Alligator mississippiensis: one gene and its partners. The protein of the gene in region 3 binds, or shares a complex with, the protein of the main gene of each other region. Links are inferred from orthologs where the notes say so. Each region holds a gene or a part of one and is shown on either strand. Other genes may lie near its edges. The genes, in order: BRIP1, PHF8 and TOPBP1.

The links.
Region 1: the proteins of TOPBP1 (region 3) and BRIP1 are in contact, whole or in part, in a crystal structure (PDB 3AL3), measured with the Homo sapiens proteins. The link is inferred for Alligator mississippiensis from reciprocal best matches to the Homo sapiens genes TOPBP1 and BRIP1. Residues at the interface, in NP_008958.2 of Homo sapiens: Leu1272, Ser1273, Ser1274, Leu1275, Asn1276, Pro1277, Arg1280, Gln1298, His1311, Leu1313, Arg1314, Asn1315, Glu1316, Lys1317, Leu1319, Gln1366, Arg1407, Gly1410, Phe1411, Leu1414, Thr1466, Glu1467, Ile1469, Ala1470; in NP_114432.2 of Homo sapiens: Ser1129, Tyr1131, Phe1132, Thr1133, Pro1134, Glu1135, Leu1136, Tyr1137, Asp1138.
Region 2: the proteins of TOPBP1 (region 3) and PHF8 are in contact, whole or in part, in a crystal structure (PDB 7CMZ), measured with the Homo sapiens proteins. The link is inferred for Alligator mississippiensis from reciprocal best matches to the Homo sapiens genes TOPBP1 and PHF8. Residues at the interface, in NP_008958.2 of Homo sapiens: Gln1298, Cys1299, Arg1314, Asn1315, Glu1316, Leu1319, Arg1369, Ser1406, Arg1407, Gly1410, Phe1411, Arg1413, Leu1414, Arg1465, Thr1466, Glu1467, Ala1470, Asp1471, Gln1475, Asn1483, Tyr1484; in NP_001171825.1 of Homo sapiens: Gly842, Ala843, Cys844, Phe845, Asp847, Ala848, Tyr850, Ile851, Tyr852, Pro853, Ser854, Leu855, Glu856.

The regions. Positions count from the first base shown.
Region 1 is NC_081837.1:3,860,674-3,871,254, forward strand, and holds the start of BRIP1 (Fanconi anemia group J protein), read left to right. Parts: upstream 1-6,328; 5' UTR 6,329-6,977; exon of another isoform or gene 6,978-7,727; 5' UTR 7,728-7,768; coding exon 7,769-7,861; intron 7,862-9,394; coding exon 9,395-9,506; intron 9,507-9,916; coding exon 9,917-10,111; intron 10,112-10,581. Other genes in the region: INTS2 (integrator complex subunit 2), read left to right, coding at 1-245, 851-958, 1,270-1,375, 1,945-2,121, 3,731-3,900. UniProt on the Homo sapiens protein: DNA-dependent ATPase and 5'-3' DNA helicase required for the maintenance of chromosomal stability. Acts late in the Fanconi anemia pathway, after FANCD2 ubiquitination.
Region 2 is NC_081831.1:28,025,829-28,035,987, reverse strand, and holds the start of PHF8 (histone lysine demethylase PHF8), read right to left. Parts: upstream 3,815-10,159; 5' UTR 3,687-3,814; coding exon 3,589-3,686; intron 3,043-3,588; coding exon 2,957-3,042; intron 1,743-2,956; coding exon 1,622-1,742; intron 655-1,621; coding exon 494-654; intron 1-493. UniProt on the Homo sapiens protein: Histone lysine demethylase with selectivity for the di- and monomethyl states that plays a key role cell cycle progression, rDNA transcription and brain development.
Region 3 is NC_081828.1:137,604,754-137,615,483, reverse strand, and holds the start of TOPBP1 (DNA topoisomerase 2-binding protein 1), read right to left. Parts: upstream 4,415-10,730; 5' UTR 4,307-4,414; intron 3,462-4,306; 5' UTR 3,387-3,461; exon of another isoform or gene 3,308-3,386; intron 2,718-3,307; exon of another isoform or gene 2,340-2,717; intron 1,790-2,339; 5' UTR 1,783-1,789; coding exon 1,702-1,782; intron 505-1,701; coding exon 370-504; intron 1-369. UniProt on the Homo sapiens protein: Scaffold protein that acts as a key protein-protein adapter in DNA replication and DNA repair. Composed of multiple BRCT domains, which specifically recognize and bind phosphorylated proteins, bringing proteins together into functional combinations.

The DNA of each region.
Region 1 (10,581 bases), on a different chromosome or scaffold from region 3:
CTGCTGTGCAGATTCTTTTGGAGATCTGCTTACCTACAGATGAGGAGAAAGGTCACAGCAGTAACTCTCACAGCCTGCTAAAGAATATTCAAAGTGCTGCTGGCCCTGGACCCCAGATTCAGGAACTAGAAGAAGAAGAAGACAGTCTGCTGTGTAATCTTCGAGAGGTCCAGTGCCTCATCTGCTGCCTTTTGCACCAAATGTACATTGCGGATCCCAACATAGTTAAACTAGTTCACTTCCAGGTCAGCTTTTCCTTGGCTACCACATTTTTATTTTCTATTCTTGTCCTGAAGGTGATGGCTGGTTAGGGAGCTTGGTGAACTTGAAGGCATGCGAAGCATCACCATAGAGAATTTGGCAAAGCTTATTTAGAGTGGTAATTATCTTACACCCAGCTTTTGGTACCAGTCCAGCTATTTTGGTGCACACTTAGAGCAGTGGCCAAGGGGGGAGCAGGTTGAGGCTCCTTTTGCTCATCACTTAGAACATGCTTGTATGTAGCCAGGTGGAACTGGCATGATAGACAAAGAGATCAATGTGCAGCAAACGGAAGAGAGAGAGAGAGGACAAAAGGTCTGTGGGCCCTTGCAGCCTGCTTTGGTAGATAAGTGGTATTTAACTAATGCACTAAGCCTTGAGGAAAAAAGGCCTGTTCTAGGGTCTGGGTGTGGCATCAGTCCTTCCTGAGCTGGGATCAGACTAGCAACCTACGGTGCTGAATAAAACAGAACTATGAGTAAACCTGTTTAAACCTGTGTGAATGCAGAGCTTCCTTGAAACCAGTGTAATCGCAGTTAAGCTTCTAGTGTGACTTTCTCTGAACATAAGCTTTGTTTTCCTCAAACAGGGTTATCCATGTGAACTTCTAGCACTGACTGTGGCTGGGATTCCATCCATGCACATCTGTCTAGATTTCATACCGGAGCTCATTGCCCAACCTGAACTTGAAAAACAGGTACTCTATGGCTATGTTGTTTGAGATGAACTGCAGCTGTTTAATCCTGGGCTGCAAAACACTGCAGCAGTAGGATGCTGTGGAGACTCCGTTTCCAGTGACATTAAATCCACTGAAGTGTGTTTTATATGTTTATTTGGCAACCGTTTCTAGAAACATTTCAGTGTCGTGTCAGAGCCTTGGTTTGCTTGTCTGTGAAAAGGGAACAACTTACCTGCCAGGTGTTGTGTCCAGATCAATTTTGGATGGAAAAGACAAAGCAGTGATAAGAATGGAATTGTTCACTACCTCTTCCCTTTTGCTCCTTGCAGATCTTTGCCATCCAGCTGCTTTCATATTTATGTATCCAGTACGCGCTACCTAAATCTCTCAGTGTGGCTCGCTTAGCTATCAATGTCATGGGAACGCTGCTGACAGGTAAACATCCAGGCAACGCATTTATGTAAATGTGGTTTAACTTCATACGAATCTAAATGTTCTTAGAACCTCTGTAACTATATTGAGCTCTTTGACTGAAAACACATTAAAGAGTAGATATTCATATTCATACTTGTTTTTCATCTCTGTTAAGCTCGCATCCTAACCCATGAAAGTTTTAAATGGATGTGGTAAGCAGAGGGAAGAAATTTGCCAAACAGGAGCAAAATTGCTTTTATCTCTTCTGAGTTGTTGGTGACTGACATAAATGAAGTAACAATTCAGACTAGCGTCCAGGGAATTGATTTAATAGCAATTAGAAAACAGGAAAGAAACTGACTCTTTATTTTGCTGATTTCAGAGAGGATTCTGGTATATCTTTTAAACGCATCAGGCAGTTGCTTTGAGTAATGTCTGCTACAGTTTTTTTGCCTCGATGATGAAAAATCAAATAAATAAAACCTGAAATGGCTTCTTACGGCCGTTCATGATCACAAATGTAATGACAGCTCTTGATGCTTGGTTTTAATAGTCAGCTCTTTTAAACATTTCCCTTTTTCCATTGCCAGTTTTAACCCAGTCAAAGCGCTTTGCCTTTTTCATGCCGACCCTGCCTTGTTTGGTCTCATTCTGCCAAGCCTTTCCTCCACTGTATGAGGATATTATGTCTCTGCTGATACAAATAGGACAAGTTTGTGCCTCTGACGTTGCCACACAAACAAGAGACTTTGATCCAATTATTACACGTAAGTAATGATATGATCCAAGGCAATGATTTACATCTGTAATGTATTGAAAGTTGAGAGACCAGTTCGAATACACTGTGAAAGTCACCCTCACACATTTGTAAATGGAAAAGTCCTAGGGGTGTGATATATGAAATTTGCCATCATAAGTTTGGCATGAGCAGATTTTTTGGCTTCTAATATAATTTATAGTCCGCATAGGACTTTAAATACCTTCTGTAGGGATAGATTAATTGGGTGTTCTAGTTCTTGGACACAATTGAGCTATAACAGGCTATGTTACATCACTATGTAACACTGCTAGGAATTAAAGCCTGGGAAGTGAAACTTCAGATTTGTATGAGGCTTCAGTTGTGTAACCCCCATTTACTTTCATAAGAAAGGTGCAGTTAAATTCCCACACGGCCATTTGAAAGCATGCCCCATAATGTTTGAGTCTTACTCGGTTCCCCTGTAGCTTATTAAGAAATAGGCAGGCAAGAGTTAGTTCTTAGTAAAATGGACCTTTTGGCTAAAGTGTATTGTCCCACCCATAATCATTCAGTGTCTTAATACGCCACTGAAGATAGCTCGAGTCACCTGGACGGTCAGTTGCCTTGTTTTACTTTGTTTTTTTTTTACTAAGGTATATGTGTAGTTGGTGAGAGACCCCCTCTCTGCCTGCATTTTGTTGTATTATACAAGTTCATCAGGCTTAAAATAAGTATCTCCATTTTCCTCCTTGGAACCTATCCTCCTTGCTGCTTGATGCTCATTTTGACAAAATCCAGATTTATTATTGAAATTGTCCTGAATTCATGAGTGCGTAAAGTCCTGGCTTCATATTTTTTTTCCATCTTCAATCTTTATGCCCCTAGCAGTAGCAGTGGTTTGCTTCCTGCATTTTTGTTAAACAGTGAAGCTTTACAAAATCTCGGGACACTTCAGCTGCCTGAGGTTGTTTTGGGCTTTATGTATAGTGTTGCGTGATTTCAATTCTAGCTGTTTTGGGTACAATGGACTGAAATCAGGCTCACCCTGACGGGGTATGAGCACGTAGCACTTTCACTGGATTTCTAGCAAATATGAAGAAATCTTTCAGAAATTAAAGCAGATTGCTAAATTGCAGGAGGTGAGATGCCTGTACTTCATGTTCCAAAACAATAAAATGCACACGGGCCTTAGTTTATATAGAGGCAGTCTGTATACCGAGGGTTCTGTGTATAGGATCTACTTGTTGGAGTTGGAGAGCCAGATTCTTCTTTTTTCAGCTGCTAATTCATTTGGTCTTGGACAAGTCACTTTCTTTTCTACAGCAAATGTAAGACCCTTTTCAGAGGGGAGCTGTGCATCTTAATCTTTTCCCCTTAAGGCAGTATTAAACCACTGTCCTTTTGACAGGAAAAACAAAACAGTGGAAAATAAATCAAAAGTTAGACGTGTCATATGACATGAGCATGTCTCCAGAAATGCTGCTGGGATTAAATTAGCACATGCCTGGGCTTTAGTCTACTGCATCCCTATCAAAATAGTGATTTTTCATACTTGTGATTTGAAGTCCTGTTCACTCTACACACGTAGTACACAAGTGTTCTCCTCAACAGTGTCATTTTTGTCTAATTCTCCCTAGGTCTCCAGCAACTAAAGGAGAAGCCAAATGAAGTATCAAGACTTGGTAAAGATCCCTCTTACAAAAGTGGTGCAAAGGACATAACAAGCCTGGACCCTGATGTTCAGTTATGCCAGTGCGTGGAAAATACCATAATTGAAATAATTAACATGAGTGTTAGTGGAGTTTAGGGGAGGCAGAAATGCAACAAGCACCATGATGTACAGTATCTAATTGTGGTAACAGCTGCCAAAGTGGAATAGGAATTGGACTGGAACAAGTCATCTCTTGTATTTGTTGGAGTCTGTGTAGATGGTGAGCTGACCCAGTCCAAACAGAAGATTTCTTAGGGAGACCAACATTGCTTTCAGTGAAAGCTCCTGACTATTGAAGTTGCCAAATGACAACTCTTCCAGTGGAGACAGGGTCTGAATTCCAGATGCTTGAATTCTGCAGTGAGGCAGTAATGCACCTACAAGGTCTTCACATGCACTCTTTGCAAAGCAGTTTGCTGAATGAGCCTGATAATGTCTTACCTTGTTGAACCTCCCCACCTTACGCTAAAATGTAAGGTAAGGGAGAGAGCTGCTAGAAAAAGTGAAGCATGTTCATTCAAAGATCCGATTGCAGCGGAGATCTCCAAAGCAAGATGGAATAAACACCCTAAAGAACAGCATGGAGAAGACTGGCATAATTACTGTAAATAGCATGTGTAAATTCACTGTGTGCTAGACAAAGACTGTAAAACTTTTTATGCCTTTTTCAAACTACAGCTGTATGGTTAAGTTCTTAAGAGCGGTTACTTAAAAGTGCATCTCTGCAGCTCCATCAGCTGCTTAGCAAAATTGTCAAGTAAGTTTTGAGTAACTTTTTGAAGAAGTCTTGAACTTGGCATAGAAGTTTCTAAATGAGCCAGTACTATAAAACAACAGAGCACATTCTATTTCAAGAATATTTTTTTTATTTTTATAATGCTGCTCCAGTTCTCTTTAATGCAGAGATGAGAGGAACCAGAAGCAGCAAAAAGAAAAGATCTCGATTTGTTATCGGGCCGGGATGCAAAAGAAACTGAAGCTCAGGAGGCTACAGCGAGGAAAGCTGGGATACACTAGGGAGCTGTATATTTTAGTCAGGGCTCCAAGAAGCACTGTATGATGGAGTGGGACAGCTGTTTGGATGAAATGGTTCAGCTTTGTGGTGCTTGGTCTGCCCAGAACTACTGAAAGCAGCAGGTAGTTCTCGCATCTGAGACCAGTGCAGGGTGAGCCCGGAGGGTTCTGCTGTACTGCCCCGTTGAAGGGCACACGAGGTCCAACTGCTGTGCCAGAGACGAGCCCGGCATTTTTAACACGCTTCTGCTATGAAACCAGTCGTGCTAGGAGGATGCGCTGTTTTAAAATAACTGCATTTGGTGTCGTTAAAATAGTGAGGTGAAATATTTGGGGGGGGTTCTGGTTAAGCAAACCGGTTCTTTCTTATTCACATGCAGAAATAGTCTGATTTACTTAAAGACGCGTGGCCTTCAAATCGTCTTGAGCAGTTTGTCTGTCAAAGGTGCCAGACCAGTACTGCAGAGGAGCGTGTTGCAGGACGCGTGTATAACAGGTGCTGTAGTACGAGCGCCGGTGTTATCCCTGAGCTCGTGGATCAAACCCAGCTCTCCCAACAGGCATGAACACCACGTGCCCCAAACGTGTGCTGTTTGATCATCCTGATGTAAAGCATGTAAATAACCGCCACTGATTCCTCTCTCCCTCTCCCCCTCCTCAGTCGCTTCCCACCGGAGCAAGATTTTACTCGACTTAAAAGCTGAATGGGTTTATAAATGTTGTAATGCAGAACTGGAGAGCTCTTAGTTCAGAGATGATCCCTTTTATTCAGTGCAAAACTCGAGGACTCTTAGTTCAAAAATGATCTCTTTTCTTCAATGCAAAACTCGAACTCTTAGTTCAGAGCTGATCCCTTTTATTCAATGCAGAACTTGAGAACTCTTAATTCAGCCATGATCCCTTTGATTAGACCAATTAAATCCCAAAATTTTGCGATTTTGTAGTTAAGAGAATGATGCCTTGTATTAGATCAACTGAGAAACACACCCCCACCAAAAAATGCTCTTTTTTTTGCAAGCTTTCAGCAGGCTGGGGACTGTCCGTGGTCCTGCTCCTCCTTTCCAAGGCGGGTGTCACGGTCCCTCTCCACCTACCTCCGTCCGGAGGGGCTTGTCGCCACGTGGCTCCAGGAGAGGCGCGGACTGGCGAGGCCGGCAGGCGAGCACTGCCATGAGCCGCCCGGCCTGGGGGAGGCGCTGTGGGCTCGGGGTGGGGGGAAGTGACATCACAATGCGTGTGGGCCCGTCTCACTACCTTACTGACCACAGAGAACGGGGGAATGGGCTAAAGTCCAAAACAGGCCTCGTTGCCGCGGCAACCGGAGGGGCTCCAGCCACGCAGCACGGCCCTCAGCGATTGGCCCAGGCGGGCGCGGCTGCGGTTTGGCTGCGCGGGGCTCCTTCCTGTCAGCTGTGATTGGCCGGCGCGGCGGGAAGGCTCCGAGCGCGGGGGGGGGGGGTCGCTCCTGAGGTAACTGACGCGCCGGCGGCGGGGGGGGGGACAAAATGGCGGCGGGTCTTCACCCCACCTGGGGCTCGCTGTGGGGGGCCTGCGCAACCTCCACCGGTCACCAGAAGCCGTTGGTGGGGGTGAAGCCCCCAGGGCCGGCCCGAAGCCCGCGTGCCAGGACAGCCACCCCTGCTCCGAAATACAGCAGCGCTGGGAAGACCAGGAGGGATGTTTCTCCGCATTATTATTATTATTATTACCTTTAACGCTCCGTCGTTGCCGCGCAGCAGAGATGCGGGGCGGCAAATTTCCCCAAACGGAAAGTTTCCCGTCGCTTTTATTCGTGTTTCCCATGGGAAATTTCCGAAACGTCCCCGCTTTTTAAAAAAAAAAAAAATGTGGGGAACGTCCCGCTTCTAAAAATTCAGCGTTTCATCAAAGGCAATCGGGCCTCGTCGTAGAGACGGCGTCTTGTATGACACCAACCGGGGTTTTTTTTACAAATGAATAAATAATTTAATTGGGAGAAATGGGCACAAACGCCCTCCGCGAGGCATTGCAGAAAAGACTGTAACCCTTGTCCTGGGTGGGAACGAAAGTCCCCGTTTCGTAGGATTTCACAGAGGAGTCGAGAGGTGGAAACTCGTCCGGGCGTAGCTTGTTTCGTACAATTAATTAGCAACAACGAACGGATGCCCGTGCGATACGAGGCAAGCTTGGCAGTTTCAAAGTTGTAACTTACAACATTTAAGCCACCTTCAGTGTGCTGTATTTAATCTGTTTCCCCCTAATCGGATATTTCAAATACTTGTGGCTATCGGGACATATAAAAGTAACATGGGGGGTACTTTTCTTTAGTTTTTAGTTTACTAAACAGAAGTCCAATAAACGTGCTAAATCACATCGTGCTGTAATGCCAGAAAATTGTCCGATTCACCGTTTTCCAGAAAACCCACGTCTCTGCTGTGAAGACGGAAAGCTGGTCTAGAAGGTGTTCTCACGGCCGGGCTCGTGGCAGGGTTGATGTCGTAGGACTCGAGCCATAGACCTCAGGGCTCGGGGGTACAAAAGGTCCCAGCGTCCTTTTTGCAATCGTTAGGATGCTCATACTGGCCCAAGTCCGTTCTGTGCAACTATTCCCCAATTTCTGCGTACAGCGCTGTAATAATATTTGCTTAATTTGCTGAAAAGTCATCCACAAATTCACAGACGTTTAGGGCTGGAAGAGGGACCTGGTGAAATTATTGACTTTAGGCAGGAAAAGCTGCTGTTACTGTTACTACTATCCAATAGTAATAACGCGGGACACATTTGAAATGGTCACCATATATCTCATCGTGGTCCTTACCCTGAACCACGTCTTTCCGACGTCACCTCAGCAGTTTGTATTCGGTTTTGCTTGGTGCCTTATGTTGCGCTGAGGCCGAACTTGTCAACGTTTGCTTTCATCTTTCTCACAGGTATAAATCTGAGCTAAACAAGTAGGGGGGAAAACCTGACCATGTCTTCTGACATATCAGAATATACCATTGGTGGCATAAAGATCCTCTTTCCTTGCAAAGCTTACCCGTCCCAGCTTGCTATGATGAATGCAGTAAGTAGAGTTACCTTTAAGTTCCTCAATTTAATTGTACCATTGTTTTGAACCTCTGTTACACTAACCTGTTGTATTCCAAGCCTCCAATATTTCATGCATTTTAGTATCGATACAAGCAATTACTTGACACATTTCCCCATGTTTCATTCTGTGTTTGTACCACAGCTAGGACCGTGGTGCCCAGGTCTGTAACTAGGGCTTCCAGTGGCAAATAAATAACAAAGCCCAGCTATATCTTGAAGTAGTAGACTGAATTAATAGACAATATCAGCCTAGTTAGGTTCTGTTTTTTTCAGAGTGGATGCTGTATCTGTTACATAATAATCAATTTTAATAATCAAAATATCAAGGGGAAACATTTGACCTGCCACTGTACTGCACTGTCTTTATTCTGTTCTGTAAAAACTTGGCGTGATCAGGTATTGTTACTAAAAGGTAAGTGGTTAGAAATGCTTTCTGAATCACTATTGAACCCTGTTCCCAAGTATAGTGCTGCTGGCATGGGTGACTGGTGCCTCTTGGCTCTGGGCAGGCACCAGTGGCCAATTGCTGACCGGGGGCAGTGGGGGCGCTGCCCCAGCGGCCGATCACCAACCCCGGAAACACTGGCAGCAAACCAGAAGTGCTGCCAGTGCTTCTCGTGGGGCGGGGGGGCCGGCAGTGGTTGATGCTTCCCAGTTCCTGGCCAGCGAGGGCCAGTTTCAGGGCGGGGGCTTGTGCCCCCCCATGCCCTCCCTACACGTCACCTATGACTGCTGGGGAGGTTTTCACAGATTCACAGAAGTGTAGGTCTGGAAGAGACCTTGTGAGATCATCGGGTCCAGCCCTACCTGCTCTGGGCAGGGAAGACAGCTGGGGTCAAATAACCCCAGCAAGGTGTGTATCCAGACTCCTTTTGAAGATCTCCAGGGTAGGTGCCTGCACCACCCGCATGGGGAGTCTATTCCAGAGTCTGCTCACATGAAGTGTGAAGAAGTTTTTATTTCTATCTAGCCTGAAACATTTTTCTAGGAGTTTATGACCATTGCTCCTGGTTTTCCCCTGGGGCATTTTGGTGAATAGTTGTTCACCTAGCCCCCGATGCTTACCCCTGATTATATATTTTAAGCTGCCACCAAATCCCCCCAAGGTCTTCTCTTTTCTAGGCTGAACAGTCCCATATCTGTCAGCCTTTCCTTGTATGGCTTGCTCTTCAGGCCTCTAATCATAAAAGTGGCTCTTCTCTGGACTCTCTCAAGCTTCTCCACAGTTTATCAGTAGCGAGAGAAAGAGCTAAGGTATGCTGACCACCTGCCGTTACTGAAGATCCATTAGTATTTTTTCCAAGAGGGTAAAGGACTGGGTCAAACTACTTTCAGCCAACCAAAAAAATTCCCTGTGGTTTCAGCTGGATTTTTTTCCGCCTGTTCTCTCTTACTCGCTGTTTAGGTTTACTACACTTCGCTGGTGGGATGTAATAAATATGATATAAGTATCTAGACCCAGAAAGGCAACACACAAACTTGCACGTCAACTTTTTTTTTCTTACAGATTGTAAAGGGGTTAAATTCTAGGCAGCACTGTTTGCTGGAGAGCCCTACAGGAAGTGGTAAAAGTTTAGCCTTGCTTTGTTCTGCATTGTCATGGCAGCAATCTTTATATGGTAAGTTCTTTTATAAAGTCATTCCTCTCAGTGTTTCTTTTTTTGTGTGTCTCGTTTTGTTTTTTGAAACAAGAACTGACTTTGTTAATAAATTTGGTCTTTTGGTAACCTCCAGCATCTGTTTCAGGAATGGACCTGCTTCCTTGCCCTTACTTAAAATCCTTTCTCTCCTGGTTAGGCTGGTGGTTAGTTATAATTCAGACTATCTGTTGACTTGTGGGTTTCATGTCACTGAATGGGTAGAGTTTCTGCAAGTGACTTATCCATTGTGTATCCAGTGACTAAGTTGGAACCAAGACAAAATTTACTGTTAACTGATTCAATCTAGAGTTTTGAGAGAGTCTAATTCTATTTTTGGCATTACCATTTTTTAAGACAAGGTGAATAACCTGCTTTTGGTTCATTTGTAGAGAAGTCATTGGATGAGTCTCCATGTGAAAAGGAGTGCAAAAAGCCAGAGACCCCATTGCCATGTCTCTGCAGATGCCATTCTCAGCCAGGAACAAATGACACCAGTGCGGATGTGAACCAAGGTGCTTCTTGTTCCTTCAATAACTGTAAAACTGCAGGTTCTGTTGGGAGTGAGACGCCATCCAGCAACAAAGGTAACTGTTAAGTAGTCTTCTGTTTTATGGGGCTGGCTATCTTGTATATAGCTATTCAAGTTGTAGGTCCTACAGTTGCATAATACCCAAGCAGCCAGGGCTGTCCCTAGTGAGGAGTGAATCAGGGCAACCGCCTGGGGTCCTGCACTTTGGGGGGCCCCGTGGAGCTGGGCAGAGCGGCTGCGGTGACTGGAGCCAATGAAGTAATCCCAGAACAGGTCTCTGGTATTGCAGTGGTCCAGCTCAACAAAAGGAACTTGAATCACTTTACAGTATTTATTAACCTTTAGATACTGTTTTCTGGTATTTGACATGCAGGGGAAGTAAGTAATTAATAGCTTGCCTTCTGGGAGCATCCTCTAACTGAAGTCTACCTTTATTTGACCCACAAGACAGACAATGCTGGTAACTTGTAGTTCTGTGTTTTATCCATGGTATTTGTAACTGACTGTTAATGTACGAGGGCCATG
Region 2 (10,159 bases), on a different chromosome or scaffold from region 3:
GATGCCAGGACCCAGCACCACCCCCACCCCGTCCATTTAGCCCTTTCCCAGACTGCATCCAGGGCCCAATCCCCTCCCTGTCCATATGGCTAGGGCCCAGCCCCATTAATCAACAGTCAGCTCTTCCTGGTCCATACTGCCAGGGTCCCCCAATGATCTGTACAGCTATAACTCTCCCAACTCCTGGTCTATAAAGCCAACCCTCTACCCTCCCTGGTCCATACAGCCAGGACCTAACCCTCCCATACCATAAAGCCAGGGCTCCCTGGTCCACACAACCAGGGCCCAGCCCCCACCAGGCTGTACAGGCAGGACCCAGCCCTCCCTAGTCCATATGGCCAGAGCACGTGTCCATACAGCTAAGGCCCACCCCCTCTCTCAGTCCATAGACCCAGGGCCCAGCCCCTTCCCCCACCCAAAGCCATACAGCCAGCCCCTCCCAGTCCACAGTCCATATTGCCAACCCCCTTCCACCCACCCCGCAGGTCCGTACCCACATAGTGCTCAATGTCGTGGGCGGTGAAGGTGGGAGGAGGCAGGGTCATGCCCAGCCCATCCTTCTTGGCCACCAGGATGGGGACGCTGAAGCTGTTCTCCTCCAGGTACTCAACGGTCAGCTGTGACCCACTCGGCCGCAGCAGGATCTCATCAGCACTGCAGGAAGGAGTGGAGAGGAGGTGTGGGGAGGAAGGGCAGGCGTCAGCACTCCGCAGCTAGCTCTAGGGTAGGGTGCCTGAGGAACATCTGAATATAGCACCACACAGGAAGGGGCTGAGATGCAGCCAGCTCTGGGGTGGAGGTGGCTGGCTGAGGATAATAGTACATGGGGAAGGCTGAGATACAGCCAGTTCTGGAGTGGAACAGCTGAGTATAACAGCACACAAAAAGAGCCAAGATGCACCAAGTTCTGAGGTGTAACAGCCAAGTATAAAACCCTACAAAGACAACTGAAATGCAACCAGTTCTGAGGCGTGGTGGCTGGAGACCATCTGAGTATAGCATTGCACAGGGGAGGGAGAGATGCAGCCAGCTCTGGGGTGGGGTGGCTGGGGAAAGACTTCATATAACACCACATAGGAAGAGCTTGCCTAGCACCAGTATGCAACCAGTTCTGTGATGCAACAAAAGAAAAACTGCTGCATATAACACTGCTTGCAGAGCATTAGCTTGGCACCAAGTAGCAGCCAACTCTGGGGTGGGGTGCCTGGGGAACATCTGCATGTAACAGTACAAGGGAAGGAACACACAGCACCAACATGCGGCCAGTTCTGGGGTGAAGCAGCTAAGAAATGGCTGAGCATAACACCACATGAGGAAGTCTGAGATATGGCTGGTTCTGGTGGGGTGTGGGGTGGCTGGGGAGCAGCTGAGTATAACACCATGCAAGAAGAACTAAGATGCAACCAGCTCTTGTGGAAAGTAGCTTAATATAATATCTCAAAGGAAATGCTAAAATGCAGCCAGCTCTGGGGTAGGACAGCTGAGAAACAGCTGAGTATAACGCCACATAGAGAGCACCAAAATGCAGCCAGCTCTGGAGTAGAGCAGCTTGGGAGTAGCTGAGTATAATCCCACCCCTCAGCCCTCCCTGTCACCCCACCACTGCCCCTGCACTCCTCACCTGGGAAAGGTCCGGCTCCGCAGCTCTTTGATGAACTGCGCGCTGCCTGTGCGCACAGCCCGGCCAGCATCTCTGCCCAGCGTCCCATCTGGCTGCCTCTGGGGGCCACGACGTCGCTTCACTGCAACAAAAGAGGGTCAGAGCTGGTATGCAGCCAGCTCTGTGGAGAGGCAGCTGAGGAACACACGAGTATAATGCCGCCTGGGCACATCAACCTGTCACCAAGATGCAGCCAGCTCTATGATGGGGCAACTGGGGAACAGCTGAGCATAACGGTCATGGGTAAGGCTGAAATGCAGCCAGCTCTGAAGTGGGGTGGCTGTGGAATGGCTAATTCCCCATGGGAAATATCACCTGGCACTTAGATGCAGCCAGCTCTGGGGTGGGGCAGGTGGGAAACAGCTGAGTATAACACCATACAGGGAGGACTGAGATGCAGACAGCTCTAGGGTGGAGCAGCCAGGGAATGATTAGGTATAAATGCCATGCTAGGTGCATCCAAAGGAACCAAAGTGCAGCCAGCTCTATAAAGAAACAACTAGGAAACAACAATATATAACCCCACATAGAGACAAAACAAAAATGTCACCAGCTTTGACGTGGAAACAGCCACATATAATATCACAAGAGCTCCTACAGCACTAAAAAAGCAGCCAGTGCTGGGGTGAAGCAGCCTAAAATGGATGCAAGTACTGAGAGCAACACTATACAGAAAGGGTTTGCTGGCAGTGAAATGCAACCAGCTCTGGGGTTGGGGAATGTACGCATGAACATCACAAGAGCTCCTACAGCACTGAGAAGCAACCAGTGTTACGCTGGAGCAGCCCAAAAATGGCTGAGTATAACACTGCATAAAAAGGACTTGCTAGTACTGAAATGCAAGCAGGTCTGGGGTGGGGCAGCTGGGGAACAGCTAAGTATAATGCCACCTCAGAGGTGCCAAATGGAACTAAGATGCAACTAGCTTGGGGGAGAAACAGCTAAGGAATGACTACATATAGCACTGTATTAGAATGATATAAGAATGCCACCAGCTTTGAGATGAAAACAGCAATGTATAACATCACAAAAACAGCTTCTACAGCATTGAAAGGCAGCCAGCCCTGGGATGGAGCAACCCAAAACTGGCTGAGTATAATGCTGCACAGGAAATGCTTGCTGGCCACAAGTTGCAGCCAGTTCTGGTGTGGCATCTTCGAGGAATGGCACAACATAACACTGCATGAGGAAGGCTGAGATGCAGCTGGCTGGTGGGGGAAGCAGAACAGATTCCCTCCCACCCCCAGAGACCTCCTTGCCACCCCCACCCAGCAGCAGGGGGGTGTTACTACTCACTGACAGAGGGTCCATGCAGCACCTGGCAATTGGGACAATGGTAGAGGTCAATCTCAGCCGCCATGTCCTCCTCCACCCCCACACAGCTGTGGGATGCACAGAGTTAATTGTCTGCAGGCCCCAGTCCCAAATCAGACCCCACCCTTAGATGGGCCACCCCTGCAACACCCACCCACCCTCAACTTGGGGTCCCCTCAGGCTCCCCCCTTTCCCTGCCCCATGGCCCTCTATAGCTCCTCTGCACCCCCCCCCATACTCCTGGCTCCTTTCTCTGCCACACAGCCCCTCCCCCCCTCCATAGCACCACCATAGCCCTCTGCCCCACCCTATAGTCTCCCCACAGCCCCCTTTCCCTGCCCCATTGCCCCCACCTTACCCAGGCAAGAACCCCTGAATTGGGGTCCTCTACCCTGTCCCAATGCCCACCACCCCTGTGTCAAGAGACAACCAAACCCCTGCTCCTGTCCCACCAGCCTGGGTTCTCCATGGTACCATGATGCATCCAGCTCTGGGGTGGAGCAGGGGGAATGGCCAAGCATAAAGCTTACTGGAGAACAGTCCTGGGGCAACTCCGTACCCCCATAATGGCCCCCACCTCTTTCCCCACCCCCATAACTGCCCCGGGTCCAGACCTGCCATGGAACCAATCCTGGCAGGCATCACACTCAATCATGAAGCGGGTCACATCATAGGGCAGGCGGCAGAGGCAGTATACAGGCACTGAGGCCATGGCGGCCCTGAAGTTGGGACTGTGGGGGAGGGGGCAGGGATGGGGGGGGCCTGCCCTGTCCCTGGGTGCCCCTGATATCCCAACCCCCCAGTGACCCCCTGCCCCCTCCCCTCACAAATACCCCCCAACACCCCCTGCACTTGAGTGACCCCGTCCCCTCACAGATACCCCCTCAGATACCCTGATACCCACAGACACCCTCCTGCCCCAATACCCCTGTCTCTCCACTCACCTCACCTTACTGCCCCCCACCCCCCAAAAAAATACATTGGGGGCCCAAAGCCCCCCCTCAGCTGCCCTTCAACCCCTCCCCCCCTCCCCACAGGGGCTCAACCCGACCCCAACTCCCCTCAGAAAGAGGGAGAAAGTCCACAACTGCCCCCCCGGCTCCTCTCCCACTCCCTCTCCTTAAGGGGGGGAAGGGTTCTCGCCCGTCTCCCCTGAGGGGGGTTACCACCTCCCCACAGGGCGTGCGTGGCGGGGGGGGAGATCTCGTCCCTCTCCGCGCGCGTGGAAGCTGGGGGAGATATGGCCTCTTCCCACCCCCCACGCGGCCGCCTCTCCTCCTCCGCCTCGCGTGGGGGGTTCCCGGCGCGGTCCCTGCTCGGCCCCAGCGGCTGCTCGGGCTCTGGCCGCTCAATAAAGTTTATTCAAAGCACGGAAAAGGTGGGGAAGGAGGAAGAGAGAGCGGGAGGAGGAGCCGCCGCCATGTTGGGGAGGTCAATAGCGGGTGGGGGGTGGGAATTAGCGACGCCGCCATCTTGAGGAGGTTCTGGGAAGCATCTTGAGAGGGGCGGGGGAGGCGGATTTAGTGGGAGCGGCCACCTTGGGAGTGGCAGGGTAGGGCCTAAGAAGTGCCGGCCATTTTGAGAGTGGAACCTCAGCCAGGCCAAGGGCGACTGCTATCTTGAGAGTGGCAGGGAAAACGACGGGGCAGCCATCTTGGGAGTGGCAGGTGAAGCAAGCCAACGGGCGGCAGCTATCTTGAGATGGTGGACAAGCCAAGGGAGACGGCGGGTGCTCCGCTATGGAAGACAGCCAACGATTGGGGGGCAGGCTGAAGGTGCTATCTTGAGAGTGGCCGCAGCCCCGCTTGAAAAGTCACCGGCGCCGCCATCTTGGGGAGGGCGGGAAAGGGGGAGCAAGGCGGCTACCTTGACTGGTGCTTGCCTGTCGTTACCAGCGAGAAGGCACCATCTGGGCGGGGCCTGTAGGTGCCATGTTGAGAGTGACATCCTGGCCATTTTGGGGGTGGGGGAGATTCCATCTGCTTTCCCTGAATGGGGGAGGGAGCTAGAACCCAGGCATCCAGCTCCCACCACCAACGCAATCCTAATCCACTAGAACCAACCCCCTCCCCTCCCCTCGGTGGGAAAGAGCCCTGGCGTCACAGTTCCTATTCACCGCACTCCCCCTCCCATAGCCGGGAGCGAACTCAAGCGTCCCGCCCCGCCCCCCCACAGCCAGGAGAACTCAAGTGACCGGGGTACCCCCGCACCCTCCGCTCCCACAGCTGGGAAAGAACCCAGGCATCCACCCCCCCACCCCACCCCCACGCAGAAGGGACACCACTAGGCGCTGACAGCTAAAAGAATAAACTTTTATTCCGACTGGTCCATCCAGCTCTTCTGGGGGCACAGTGTGGATTCTCCTCGAGCCTCAAGCGCAGATTGTGGTGCCTAGGCTCAGACTTTCCCAGGGAGTAAGAGAGAGGCTTTGGTGTGCACAGAGCTTTTGGGGGGAAAAAAACAAAAACCCAGCCTAAAAGCCAGTGCTAGACATGCTGGGGGGAGAGGGGGCTGAGCATAGGGGTGTCAAGGGGGGGGGCTGTATCTGGGTAGCAGAAAAATGGCGTCTGAAGGAAGAGGTCTGGGCAACAGGCAAGGGGTAGATGCCAGGAAGAGGAGGGGGGAGAATGGGCCTGGGCACGGGTGGGTGGATGAACGGTGTGGGGATAGCTAAAAACAGATGGAAAGATAAAGGGTGTAGAATGCATGGATGGATGAGGTGTGTGGGTATAGCTAGGCAGATAGATAAAGGGTGTGCAGGGATGGATAGACAGCGAGTGTGTGGGAACTGCTGGATGATGTGTACACAGCTAGCTAGACAGACAAAGTAGCGTGTGAGGACAGATAGATGGATGATATGTATGGGTAGAGATAAGGCAGCTGGATAAAGAGTGTGTAGGGGTGGTCAATAGGGTGTGTGGGGATGAATGGGTAGATTGATAAAGAGTGTGTGGGGATAGATGGTGTGGGGATGGATAGGTGGTGTGGAGATAGCTAGACAGATGGATATATAGAGGGTGTGTAGGATACAGGGTGTATGGGGATGAATGGTCTGGGAATAGCTAGGCAGATGAATAGATAAAGGGTGTGTTGTGATAGACAGATGGTTTGGGGATAGATACACAACTGGATAAAGAGCATGGGTGGACAAATGGATGGACAGATACATTAGAGTGTGGGTAGCTAGACAGACCAAAGGGTGTGTGTGAGGATGGATAGTTAGCTGGATGAATGGATGAGGTGCATGGGGACATCTGTCTGTCTAGCTGGATAAAGGACATCCATGAGGCTAGACAGACAGAGGGGGCAGCTGAGGATGGATGGATCCATTGACCACCTGAGGCAGGCTATGGACACATTTCATGCCCCAAGTTTTAAACTTCTAACATCAAACCCCCCAAAACAGACCAACTCACTCCCAGTGAGATCAGTCTGGGACACGAATAACAGCCCCAGCTTCCTGAACCCCAGCTGACAGCCCCATCTCCATCCTCTGACAGCAGAGATCCCCCTGACCAGCTACTATTCACCCCCTTCCGCCCCCCACCTCCTAAACCCCAGGACAGGGAATCCCTGCATGGGCAGGATTCTTTCCCAGTGTGGTGGGGAAGCACAGGATGCCTGGGTCCCAGCCAGAAGCAAATGCTGGGATATTGCCAGCAGCTGAGTGCTGGAATTGGCTCCAGGTCATGATCCCCCAAGAAGACGAGCCAAGGGGGTCAAAAGAACACCTTGCCAGCAGAGGAAGGGGGGGGGGGGGCAGGGTTTAGCTAGATTCACTTTGTCAGAGACACCAGTTCCTTTGCCATGGACTCAAAAGGCAGCAGCAGGGAAGAGCCACCTCTTGGCCAAAGGATACCCGGGGGATGGAGAATCCACCCAGCTGCTGAGCAGAAATATCTGAAGAACCATCAGAAGAACAATTGGAGGAATCAGTGGAGGAGCCAGCTGGAACTGTCAGAAAGATCCATCATCAGAAAAACATCAGAAGGAACTGTTGGAAGAAACCATCAGATCCATTGGAATATCCATTATCAGAAGATCCACCACAAGGAACCACTGAAAGATCCATCATCAGAAGAACTAATCACAAGGACCATCCACAGAATCATCCAAAGGAACCATCAGAAGATCCATCAGAATCAACTGTTAGTTTTTCTGATGCTGGATCTTCTATCAGAAGAAGCCCTTGGAAGATCCAGCTGAAGAATAATTATACAACACACGCTGCCAACTCTTTTGGCCACAGCCACCCAGCCTGACGTGGGCAACTCCCACTCCTGCATGGCCAACCCCTGCCCCTACCGTTATTTCTTAGCATACCATGCTCCCCGCTTTACCCAAAACCCAAGATGGGAAACTGGGGGGGGGGGGGGGGGGGTCGGCGAGCTACAACTTAATGAGGAACCCAGATTCAAAGTCCGTCTTACCCACAAGGCATTTTCTTGGCTGAGTGGGGAGGGAAAGAGATGTGTAGTAGACACATAAATATAGTACTTGCTCTATAAGCAAGGGTGGGATTTCAAACCTTCCCTGTCCCCCTCTGGCAGGGTGCTGTGGATAGGATGTGAGGGGCACAAGTAGGGTTGGGGGCTGTGGTTTAGGAGTGAGGGACAATGGCATAGGTAGGGCTAAATGTATAGGTATTTAGAATTTATTTTACTATAGGGATTGAGGCACTGGTAGGCTTCCAAATTGCTTTAAAATTGTAAATGTATCAATAAAACAATGCATCAATAAAACATACCTAAATATATAGTGATGTTTTGTTTTAATCACAGAAGAATGAGGATTCCAGGGTTTTTAATCAGAGAATTTGCTATTTCTTAATCAGAGAAAACCAGGATCCTTGGTAATTAGCAATGACTAATTATGACAGCTTTCCATCCCCTATAGGTTTTTCACAATAGTCAAGTAATTAAATAATCATCATTAACATTAAGAAGAATCAAATATAAGCCATTATAAATAGACTAACTATGCCTAATGAATTAACTGAGACTAACAATGCAGTAAGGTCACTGCCAGGATTAATGCATATATGCATAATGAGATACACACTCAAAAAGGCTTTCAACTGGGGATGCTGAATAATAAACAAGGATCCTTAATACCTGTAATATTAGGGTTAATTAATTAGGTTGATTCCCAATCATTATTCTAATGATAAGAAGCACAAGTCATTAATAACAATTGCTTCAAACAATCCAAAGAGTCATCTCTTGGAACCTGCCTCTTCTAATTAGAGAGGTAAGGAAGAGGGGAATACCACTGGCCAACAATGCTTCTAATTGGGATGAATATTAAATGTGACAAACAAGAAAATGCAAGGAGACCAAATTCATAATGAATCCGATTCCTTCTGGATAACTCTTCTTTAAGGTCCAGAAGAATTAACAAAAGAATTAAAAGCCATTTAAAAATGTATAATAGTCCATAGGGATTATTATGGTTAATTAGCATGTTTTTTCTCCAATAACGAGAAAGGGCCCATTGATTATTTTAATAAAGCTGCATTTTTCTTTACTCTGTGTGTGTGTGTATATATTCCTGTTATTTATTTTCATGTATTTACTTGGCATATCATATATTATTATATTATGTTTTATTAAAGCTTTATTATGTATTCTATGCCTTACTTTTTATGTTAACTTACTTAGTGTTATATTAATTACCATACTACGCTAATAAACCTTCATTATCTATTTTACATATTACAGTAAACTCTCTGGTAACTGGCACCTTACAAGCTGTCATGCTCTGTTAACCAGCATGTTGGCTTGTAAGGAAAAGTGAAACCAGAAGTGCCCACTGTGGCACTTCCAGTTTCTCTGAGCCCCCATGGCCTGGGGGCATAACAGGCTGTGTGGGGCTGTGCAGGGCCCGCCTCCTCATCCCACAGGGCCCACAGGGCACGTGGGAGAGATGGCAATGCTGCGGGAGGGACAGCAGGGCGGAGGGATGTGGCGGGAGAAGCGGCAGCCAGGCACATTTTGTTATCTGGTATCCCCCATGCCCAGAGGATGCCAGATAAGAGAGCTTTTACTGTACCAGGCATGCCTACACAAGATGTTTACTGCCTCAGTAAACATAGCGTGTCTACAGGTATGCCCCTATTAGGCTGGAGTAAATTAATTTACTCCTCAGCAGGAAAGTCTTGTAAATATAAGTACTATCCTGCTGCAGATTTTTTTTGTTTTTTTTTTTACTCTGCAGCAGTGCATGTATAGATGCTGCCCTGGCTGGCTGGGGCATGAGGGTGCTTCAATGAGAGGGCTGCCTGCCAGCTAGCCCTGCTCTGGGAGCACTCTTGTACTCCAGCCAGCTCTTCTGCAGCCCATTGAACCAGGGGGGAGCAGCCCCAGGCTGGCAAGCTGACCCCTGGGCCGCTGCCAGCTGGTGCTGGGCCAACCCAGCTCAACCTGCAGCAGTCCCAAGAACACGTTCAAATGGCACACCCAAGAGCAATAAACTCTTATGCAATAAGCTCCAGGGTTTATTGCTTCATATTAATTGCATGTGTAGACACGACCACTATCAGTTATTTTTATTTAGAATAATATTATTTAGCATAATGCTAATAAACCTTCACTATTTATTTTATGCTTTATCACTGTCATTTTTTATTTACTTAGCATTATATTAATGACCATATTATGTTAATAAAGCTTTGTCATTTATGTATCCCAACTGTATCTCTTATATTAACTTAGCATTATATTATCATTATGCTAATAAAGCTGCCTTATTTATTTTATACATCACTATCACTTATTTTTATAACTTAGTATTATATTACACTAATAAAACATCATTATTTATATATTGCTATCACATATCAGTATTGTATTGTTACACTATGCTAATAAAGTTTCATTGTTTATTCGTTATCACTAATCTTTAATTTACTTACCATTACATTATTTTACATTAATAAATTGTATTATGTATCACTATTATTTTTAGCTATTTGCTTATTACCACATTATGTTCTTTATGAAGCATTATTTATGCTTTACTATCATTATTTGTATTTATTTAGAATACACATGCACACCCATCTCTCTCTATATCTATATCTCTAATGTATGGTATATCTCCGTATGTATATTTTTACAAATCTACATATATAGCTTTCTATCTATATATTTAATCTATATCTTCCTATATATACATATGTCTCCT
Region 3 (10,730 bases):
CTAGAAAACAGGAGCTATGCCTGAACAGCCACTGAGCTCTAGCTAGCCTATTTTTGACTACTGAAAAGTTATGGCTCAGTTAGACCAGCTCTCTTTGGCTGAAACATAAAAGTGGCTTCAAGTCATTGCTGCAGACTCCCACAGAACCCGGAGAAAAAAAATGCCAGCTTGGCCAGAGTACTGATTCCTTTGTTTTTCCCCTCATGTATTGCTACCCTTTGCTATATCTCTCTGAAATTCTAATTGGGAATATCCAGCATTTAAAAATATTCGCTATGTAGCCCACAGAATGCAGAAAAGAGACACATGGCAGGATTATGAGTGTCCCAAGGAACAGGATACTTGTGAGTAGAAAGGTGGGGTGCAAACCTTTTTGAGATGATTAAAAACAATGCCACTAAATGGGTCACAGATATAAAGGGACTGGTCATTCTCTTTTATATCAAGTGCAGCTGCTTCTTCAAGAATCTGGAGATATTCTTCTGACTGAAATTCTTTTATGGACTGCAAGAAAACATGAAACAATAAGAATACACTTAAATTTCCTTAGCTTTCAAGTTCCTCTTTCACTGATGAATAATTCTTTAAAGTGAATTCCATGGGAACTACAGACCATATGCAGCTGAAACGGCTTCTAGTAAAATTACCATACAAAAGTCCCATTGTATATTCATCAATAACCAGCATACTGTATAAGTTGAAATGGACAGTACACAAACTTGAACAGATAGGTCCCGATCCTACAAGGTACTGAGCATCTTCACCTCCCACTGACTATCCAAGGGAAAAGGAATTGACACTCTCCTTGCTGTATCTATCGTACAATGGGTACAGGACTATCCTGAAAGACCCTCCAAACCCTACTGAGCGCCAAACATTTTGGCAGGAATGCCATAAAGTAACATCCAAACCCTCCAAGTGACACGCTGATCCCTTTCCCTTGCCTGATCTTTTGCTCTGCCTTCTGCTCCCTGCCCTGTGCTCTCCACCTAATCTGTTACTCTCCTCCTCCCTGCCCAATCTACTGCTGTGTTCCTTGCTGATTGGCTGCATGCCACACACACAGGCTGACCATGCTACTTACGGCACACATGCCATGGGTTGGCCATCCCTACTCCAAAACCCTCAAGGCTGCAATTCACTCTGCAGTGTGAATTAAAGAGTATTCTCCCCAGACAGTCAATGGGCCCAATCTGTCAAATGCTGGCCACCAAAGCACAGCACTTATTCAAAGGTTCATTCAAATCTTGTGTAATGCTTTATTCTTTGGGGACTTAAGCTTATTCAGTCAAAAAGAAATGCCACAGTACTATGCATCATACTTGGCAGCAATCATTTACAAAATTAGACCCAAAGTTTTGAGTGTTTCATTTCCTTTCAGGAGGTAAAGCATAGCTCACTGAACCAGTCTCACCTTGAAAACTATTTTGTGAAAAACCTATGATTTCACTATAAAGATCTTTCTACCATATCAAAGTTGAATTCACCCACTACAATTAGGTGAAGTATGAAACCGACAAAACACTACTCCTTTTAACAGGAAAAAAATTACACAACTGTAGTTCTACCTAATGCTAACTGCCTTCCTCATATAAAGACAATCTCTTTTATTGATGTTTAGAATTTACAAATAAGCATGAAAGTGTGAGACAGAAAACTGAAGTCAGGATTATAGCTAGTAAAACTAGCTAACGTGCTTACCTCAAGAGCTTTAAAAAAATATTCAGAATTTCCAGAAGACTTTATAAATTTCACAAAAAAAGGCTCCTTGTCACTTTTCATCCTTTAACTGATGGAGAAAACAAAAGATTTTTCAGTGTTATATTCCATGTTTCAAAAAAACTATATTACACTTTCAAGGCAAATCATGAGATGCAACTGACAGAATTTACCTTTCCATAGAAACAAAGGTCTTTTTCTGACATTTTTTAATTATTTACCCCATAAGAGCAAGTTATTCCCATGTAGCATGTTTCTAATTAGCTCCCACATTATACCAGTAACTATAGAACTTCATCTCTTCAATTCATCTTCCACTCTAATGCAAAATGAGTGAAAGAGAACTTATACACACCTTGGAATAATCATTTGTTTCCTATCCACTGGTAAAACTCTCTGTGGGTACTAAAACTAGCACTAAGGAAAGGGTGGTTTGTTAGTTTATAAGATTTATACAGGTTTCTCTTGCTTCATGCTGTACATGTGTTCCTGGAAAACTTGAATTCCCATAAACGGAACCCACTTTACAATGTAACAAATAGGGATACGTTCCAAGAACTCAACTGTACTGACCCCCAGACCTCTTTCTACAACTTTTACAAGACAATTTTGGTACTCACCAACATTACACACAAGCACAGGGTGGTGGTGAAAATTACCATAATAGTGATGGCAACTACAGAAACATATTGCAGACAACAAGCGAGAAGCTCATATCTACACAGGAGACTATATTTTGGTGCGTGTCACTCCCACAATGCACCACACAAAGCAGCTGACTGTGGGCTTCCACCACAGCGATCACCTACGAGTGAATTTACCTCGTGTATAACAGATTTTTGGTATAAAAAGGGACATCACATAAGAGAGAATTCGCACATACAGAACCCTAAAAGCAAGGAAAAGCTGTATCCCACCCTATCCGAAAAGCTAAGAGCAGCTGGCAATAAACAGACAACCCACAGACAGGATTTGCTAAAACCCAAGAATTCCGACCCCACTCCCTGAAACCACCACCTTCCTGCCCAAATCCCTACACGAACAAACCCTCCTGCCAATCCCAATCACACTCTCCACCCACCACTCCTTTCCTTTATTGCATCCTTGTGACAAGACATTTAACAGAATTTGCAGATTTGCTGGAATCTGACAGGGCCATGTAGTGAGTGCTTCTGTATGGCAAGCACTTTTCACATCAAGATACAAAAATCTCTTTCCAATGCAACCCACTTCCTACCTACCCTTCCCCACTACAGACCCACATCACCCGCAAAGGAGATTCACCCCACCTTGCCCCAACATCCCTGCCGAGACAGGCAGCAAGCTGTTCTCCCCTTCCCCCAAACACACACAACACAGATTCCCAAGAACTGGAACAAAAGAAGGAAAAAGACCCTCGGTCTCCATCAAAGGGAGCCCTTCAGCAGCACCTGCCCAGAGATGTGTCAGCTGTGTACAGCTGCAGGCTGGCCAGATCCTTCTCCCACCTATGGGTGGCCAAGCTTCTTGCTGGTGGCTGCCCATTGTCCTCTGCAACAATCATGAAGAGCTAATGATGGAAGGATAATACAATCCCAGGCTAGTTTACCTTTCCATGGACCTCTTTTTTTAGGTGCACACCTCTACTCCTTTAACAGGGCTCTCTTAGATGCAGTAATTTACTCAACTGCGCTTTCCCGAAGTGTGCGACTAAGCCCCCAATCCTGGTGTTCACTCCTTCTTTCTCCCCAGAGCACTTCACTCTAAGCAAGAAAAAATAACATTGTATTTAGTACTTCACCAGAGAAGCCCACAGTTCCCAAGCAAGAACCTATGCACCGCATTCCTTGCCCCACCTGAGGCTGAAAAACCACTCCCTTAAAGGGCAGAAGTGGGGGCAGGGTGGCACTTGACACCAGGAGGTGTCCTGAGGTCCTTTCAAGGGTGCCATCAGGGAAGAGGAGGGGGGTAGACACAACATCAACACTGCGAGGGTTGTAAGTGCAACTCATGAGATAAACCCAAAGATTTCCAATAGGAGCCCAGAGGCAGGCGTGCTCTTCCTGGGTTCTTTGCAACAGATAAGCCTTGCTGGTATTACTCTGCAGGAAAGAAAGGGGTGAGAATGAAGAGCTGGCATTTGCTGGGGGCAGCTGTGAGCTGGGGGGGAGCCAAAAGCCTATCCGGGGCAGGGGCCACATTGTGCCTACCCTGAGGGTCCACCATAAGTCCACCTCAGTTCAGGACCACTTCTTTAGACATGAAGTGGTCCAGGGAGGCAAGAATTTTTGGAGGCAACAACCTGGGGTGCTCTTTCTGAGGGGGCATGGCCCACCAAGCAACAAATACAGCCCGCCCTGCTAAGAGCAGGCCGTGGCGGGGCAGGAGGCAGCAGAGGAGAGGGCTCAGCACCCCCAGTTGGTTGCTCATCTCCATCACACTCGCAGGTGCTCGGCGCTGCCGGTCTCAACCCCTGGGGCGGCGTGGCGCAAGCCCCGCCCCCCGCGCGCCAGGCCAGTAGGGTCCCGGAGCGCGGCGCGGCCTCTGCCCCCGTTCCGACCTCGGGGCGGGGGAGGACAAACGGGTGCGGCGGCCCCCCCTCACCCACCGGACCAGACCGGGCTGGTGCTGGTGCTAGCAGCTCCCCGCGCTCCGCCGCGTCCCTCCCCGGCTGGCGGGAAAACCTAGCAGCGTCGCACGGCGCACGCGCACCCCCCAGACGCTCGTACACGCGATTGGGCGCTTTCCCTTGTCACGTGACCCCTCCCCCCCGGTTCCGGATTTGCTTTCAAACGTCTGCCGGCTTGGAGTGCGCGTGCGCAGGGGCGTCTCGTGACGTTCCCGGGGAGGGGGTGGGGCCTTAGTGTGCTCCCTTGTTCTGTGCGGGGGGGGGGCTGTAGAGGAGCTGTGTTCAATCAGCGCCCGGGAGGGGGGCGGTAGTCTATGGGCAGCTCGGGGACCCTGGAGCCCCGGTCGCTGCGGCGGGCGAGCTGCGGGGGAAGCCTCCCTAGATCTGCCCTCCCTGTCCCTGGTACCAGAGCAAGGTCTCTCGCTGCCCTCTCACGGTCCTGTCTGCGTCTCAGCCCTGTGGGGATCTGGCTGGAAAGGACCTGCAGAGGTCATCTAGTCTGATCACCTGCCTGAGCTAGAGTCAGCCTTGTCCAAACCATCCCAGGTGGTTTACAATGAAGTGTAAACTTTTAGAACACCAAAAATTATGGGAGTTGGCAATACTGTAATCATAGTCTAAACCAGCCTTTCTCAATCTCTGGGGGGTGACCCAGAAGTGGGTTGCAAGAAGCTATGGAAGGGTTGTGGCCAATAATGAATTCTCCTTCAAAGGAGAAAAATGTGGAAAACAGTGGGTTTTCCCTTGCGGGCTGCCCCCCATGCCCCACACACCCACCTCCTGCCCCACTAGGGGTGGGGGGCAGCGGGGCAGGAGTGTGGGGTTGGGACTGGCTATTGATGCTTACAAATGGGTCCCGGTACAAAAAAAGGTTGAGAACCACTCATCTAAACCCTACCTAAGTCTGCAGTGATTCCTGACAGCATCCTAACCTGCCCAAGCTAACATGGGAACCCCAGCGGCAAAACACAAAAGCATTTGCTCGGTAAGGCTGAAAACTCCAGGAGAGCAGAGAAACAGTCTCATTCCTTATCACCACCTGGCAGGAGATGGGGGCGAGCCACTTCCACATAGTGATCCCTGGTACTGTCTCTGATGGCCAAGAGCTCCCGGATTGACAGAAACAAAGCGCACAAAGATAAACGTGGTCACTTTTTTTGTCATACAAAGGAAGAGCCACCTGGCAAGTGAATTCTAGCAAGTTTCAGTTCTACTCACAGCACTGATTCAGTGTCCTGAAACACCAGTGCTCGGGGTTAAAACAGGTTTGACAAATCAAGTGCGATGGGCTGGCTGGTAGTGACTTAGCCCAGGGGTTTTGAAAGGAAAAAAGATGATTGGAGGACTTGGGATTTCCTCACCAATCAAGCCCCAGAGACTCACCCTCCCTGTCCCCTGATTGACCCCTTGGGTCACTTGGAGGGGGATAAAAGGGGCAGCACAGCTGACTCTGGGAAGAGACCAGTGAGGGACCATGAGGAAGGTGCTTCAAAGAGCTGGCAAGAGTTGGGCCAGTGGGGTGGGAGCAGTTGCCCCAGAAGCACCTGAAGGAATGGGACCTGCAGGCAGCATTTGGACCCTCAGCAGCATGGTGTGCAGCTGGCAGGAGAGGCTTCCTACTGGGCTCCAGGATCCCCTATGAGAGGCTGTGGCCAGCAGGAGGGGCTCCCCCACTTCAGCAAGGATCTGAGCAGCAACCTGAGAGGTTCCCAGCTCTGCTTCTGGCTCCTCCAAGTGGAGGCCAGGCAGCTTGACATGAGGCCTGGGCTCTGGGAAGGTCAAGACCCCTAGCAGCTTAAAGTAGTGCTATCAGTAGTGGCTGTGTGGCAGCATTTCTGCCTACCACATGGGAGCTCTGAATTCAAGTCCCAACTGGGGTAAGCGAGCTAACAAGAAGCAAATCCTGCAGTTGAAAGAGACCATTGTGCTTTCCCCCTTTCTCTACTTCCAGGTACCTAGGCCCTGTATTTCCTTGTCATTTGACATTTTGTGCCTCTTTTATATTTCACCAACCAGTATAGTTTGCTCTGCTGTTTGTGTTTTATGTTTTGTTAACACTGTCTTTTGTCAACGATTGTAAGTGTCTAACCTTTGTTGAATCCTACCCCCCAGGGGGCCCCACTACACCCCCTGATTTATGCCTGTTATGTTCCCAGTATTGTTCCCTCATTAAAAGGTATATGGTTAAGTCCCCATTGGTGGTCTGGCTCTGCTCTATAGGGGGAGGAGAGTCCCTACACCTCCCACAGTGCTTGTGCACCTGCTTTGATCCCTTCAATTGGAGAGGGGGTACCTCTTGGAGTACCACCCGGGTTACACAAATCAGTCAAAATGTTTCTTTTCAGCTACTGGAATTTCCCAAGGATCATTTGGGACCCTACAAACTGTCATGAACATTTAGAATAATGTTCCCAACACTTACCTGTACATGAAACGCAGAGCTAGAGATGCCGTGAGTCTTGTACTCCAGCATTTGCAGCTCACATGTGGTCTGCAATGTCTTTTTTTTTTTTTTTTTTTTTTAATCACTTTCTGTCTGCTCCTGGTGAAATGGAAGCTATAGCTAAGGATACCAGCTAAAAATACTACACAAAGGAACACAAGCCATCAAGGTATGGGTTTGCATCATGACAGGATGATGCCATGATAAATTATGTCCTACCCCTCCCCCCTGAAAGGGACTGCATCAGATAAAGTGTTACCAATTGTCATCACTGTTGACCTTGTGAGGTGTTATTGGTGTGTTGTCAGTGTTGAAGCCTCAGGAACTGCAGTGTTAGCAAAGTCACAGCCTGGAGATCCCAACACCATCGTGCCTTAAAGGACCACAGGTGCCATTCAATGACAAAGATTTGGCCAGGTTTATTATCTACAGGCATGGCCCTAAGACATTTTGACCTAACAAATACATCGGACCAGGAGTTAAAGCATTTGTACCTGTTACAGGGTAGTTGGCATGATACCATGCAGGCTCCCCTAGGCCTCTATGAAGTTCCCATACTTTCCAACCCTCCTTTTATTAGGGCTCTGCGAAGCTTCCGTCACTGATTCGATTCAGCCTGATTCGTTGCCTGAATCTGAATCAAATCAGGAGACCCTTTAATCTCTCCGAATTGATTCAGAGAGATTTGATGATTTGGACATAGACGCAGCTTTAAATATTTTTCTATATACCTCAAGGTACCAAGCAGCTCGTGAATGCTGAGATGCTAGTGTGGATGACGCATCCCACAGGAGCGTGGGGGGTCCCCAGCACACTCAGTGGTAGACCCTGAAGTGGACCAGAAGCACTTCCAGTCCACTTCCGGGTCTACTGTAGAGCATGCAGGGGACCCTCCCTCCACCCCCCAGCTCGGCAACTGGTGCCTCCTGGGTCTAGGGGGGGCACTTGGGTCCCCCCGCAGCCGATTACCGAGCCAGGGAGTGCAGAGGGGGGTCTCCCATGCACTCAGCGAAGGACCCAGAAGTGAGCCGGAAGTACACTTCATCCACCCCACCATCTCAGCGTTCATGAGCCGTGCCTGGTACCTCGAGGTATGTAGAAAAAACATTTAAAGCTGTGTCTATGGCCAAAACGCTGATTCTCTGAATCAGCATCAAATCTTCAGATTTGGATTTGGCCAAATTGAATTGGGACAGTGATCCAAATCAACTAATCAAATCACTGTCCCCTGAATCAGGCCAAATCTGAATCGAATACGGCCCGCTTCGCACACTGCTACCTTTCATACAATGATCAAAACAGATTACATACTGCATTCCATCTGTATCTTAAATGTCTCAAAACGCCCTGTACCATTGGATAGTTTCACATCCTGACCTGGGTGTTCCGGTTCTAGTCTTCATCACTGGCAAACCCTTGCAGTTGAGGATGATTGTCTTCCATGATTGCTTTATCTGTGGGTTTGCAGATGGCTAATGAGACTGATCTGGGATAGACAGACTCTGTTGCAACTTGGGAACATATTTCCGTATGGAGTGGGTGGCTCTGGATTCCTGATTTGATCCACAATACGCTGTTTCTGCCAGTCCTGCTTTTCCATCTCCTGTTGTTCTTGTAAGGTTTCAAAGTACTAAGATTCTTGCAACAGACTCTTCCTCCATTTGGGGCAGTCCTGGATGATAGTCTCCCACAAGTTGATGTTGATGTTACATTTTTTTTTAAAGTGGCCTTGAAGACATCCTTGAAATGCTTTCTCTTCCATTCTCTTGAATGTACATCTTGACTGAGCTGGGAGAATAAAACTTGCTTCAGGGATCTGGACTTGGACATTGTGGCAGAGCACCTTTGGGGTGCTCACCACATTAGGGTTCTCACAGGCTCTGAGGGGAGCCTGCTTTGGAGGAGCAGCAGGGGAAACCTCCCCCAGGTAGCATTTTAAGGGGAGAGGTGTGTGGCAGGGCATTGGTGGTGCCTGTCACTTTAAGACCTGAGCCAAGCTGCCAGCAGGTGCTTGACTGTGGCAGCCATTTTAGATCCCTGGCTGCCTATATAAATAGATCAGCTCCCTGCTGGCAGCAATATCATCTGGCTGCAAGGCTTCATGTATCATTCTGGAGGTAAGGGAGGAGCTGTAGGGGATGGTTTGGAGACTCCTGGTCCTGGGCATGACCTGCCAGGAGTGGGTGGCCTGGTGGTGTGGGAGCCTCCAGGAAATGCCAGGCCCATTACCACCCTGGTGAAAGGCGGGTAGGGGCGCCTTAACCCTAGTCCTCACCTTCAGGTGGGTTTGTGTAACACCAGAGGCAGTTGGGGCCAGGTATGGCTGTGGCCACCTGAGCCCACCGGGCAGGGAAGCTCCTTGGCCCTGAGTGAAGGGGGTGGTGTGGAGCCCTGAGTGAAGGGGGAATAGGCCAAGGTATGTCTCTAGATGTCTGAGGCTGTAGTTTGGGCCGGAGGCTGAGTAAAGGGGGGCTCAGCCTGAGAGAGAGGGGCGAGACCTGACCCCGGTAAGTCCTCCACCACTGGGAGGCTGAGTGTTGGTCAAAAGCAAGACCTATAGTGAGCCCAATGACCTGCTGCTCCAGGGGGGGAGTGAGGGTCCCCGTGAGACCCTGGAGCACCAGTTGTGGTGTTGGATAAAAACGCCATGTTGAGGGGTAGCACCAGAAAGGAGGCAGAGATGAGGTACCACAGTTGGGGGGGGGGGAGAAGAACCAGAGGGCTGAGGGCCCAGTACATGTCGATATATAGGGTTGCCCTGGAAGGGGCTAGAGCAAGCTTAGACTTGGTCAAGTAATTGGCTGGCCGCTACCCCGGTGAGGGTTGCGAGAGAGGCCCAAAACACGGTATTACTGCCACCCAAGGAATGGACTAGCTAAGCCTATGGCCTAAGGGGCCCACTCTAAGAGGGAGCAAGGCAGAATAAGTTGTCAACGCATGAAAGAGACTCTGTGAGAAAGGTTGTAGTGTGTGTGAGGCCCTAGTGAGAGGAGGGCAGTATGAATGTGTGTGTGACTGAGGCCTGATGACAAGGCCTAAGCTTGGTCCGGCTGTAGGCCGGGAGCACTGTGTCATCTGGATGCCATCTACAAGGCATGGGCTGTGGTGTAGGGAGGTACGGAGCCGCAGATAGCGCCCCCTGGCATCAGGGCAAGAATGGGCAGCCTCCCACCTTAATTAACATCTTAATTAATTAAGAACAAGGCATGGCAGGCGAGTCAGGTGGGTGGTGTGCCCAAAGGCAAGTGGAGAACCTAGCACTGAGGCTAGGCGGGGAGTCCCACTTTGCCACAGACATCTAGATGGCTTGGCCCATGCAGTAAAGCTGATGTCAGATGATCATTGCCTTGATACTTGTGGTGTTTCCTTGTGAGAGGACACTAATGTTGATGCATCTCTCTTCCCACTGGATTTGAAGGATCTTCTGTAGGCAGCACTGAAGGTACTTCTCCAGCAACTTGGGGTGACTCCTGTACATTGTCCACATCTCAGCTCTGTACAGTAAAGTGGGGATCACGACTGCTTGATAAACCATGAGCTTAGTTTTGAATCTCATGTCATGATCTTCGAATACCCATTTCCTCAGGCGTCTGAAGGCGGCACTTGCACTTTTAAGGAGATGCTGGATTTCTTCGTCAATGTCAGACTTCTGTAATAGATGACTTCTGAAGTATGAGAAATTTTCAATGTTCTCCAGAGTCTCACCATAAATCTGAATTACCACAGCTGGGGACTGCTCAGTAAGAGCTATTGATGGAGGAATTTTCTAAATGTTAAGCATCAGTCCCATTTTCTTATATGCCTCATAAAGAGGCAACGATTTCCTGAAGGTCATATAAGCACTGGACTATCCACATATCAAGTTTTGCTCACATAATGAGTTCATGCATCAATCAGGTTTGCTAGTTAAACCTACTCTGGCAAATGCTTTAGCAAAGCTTTTGTGTAAGCAGTATATAT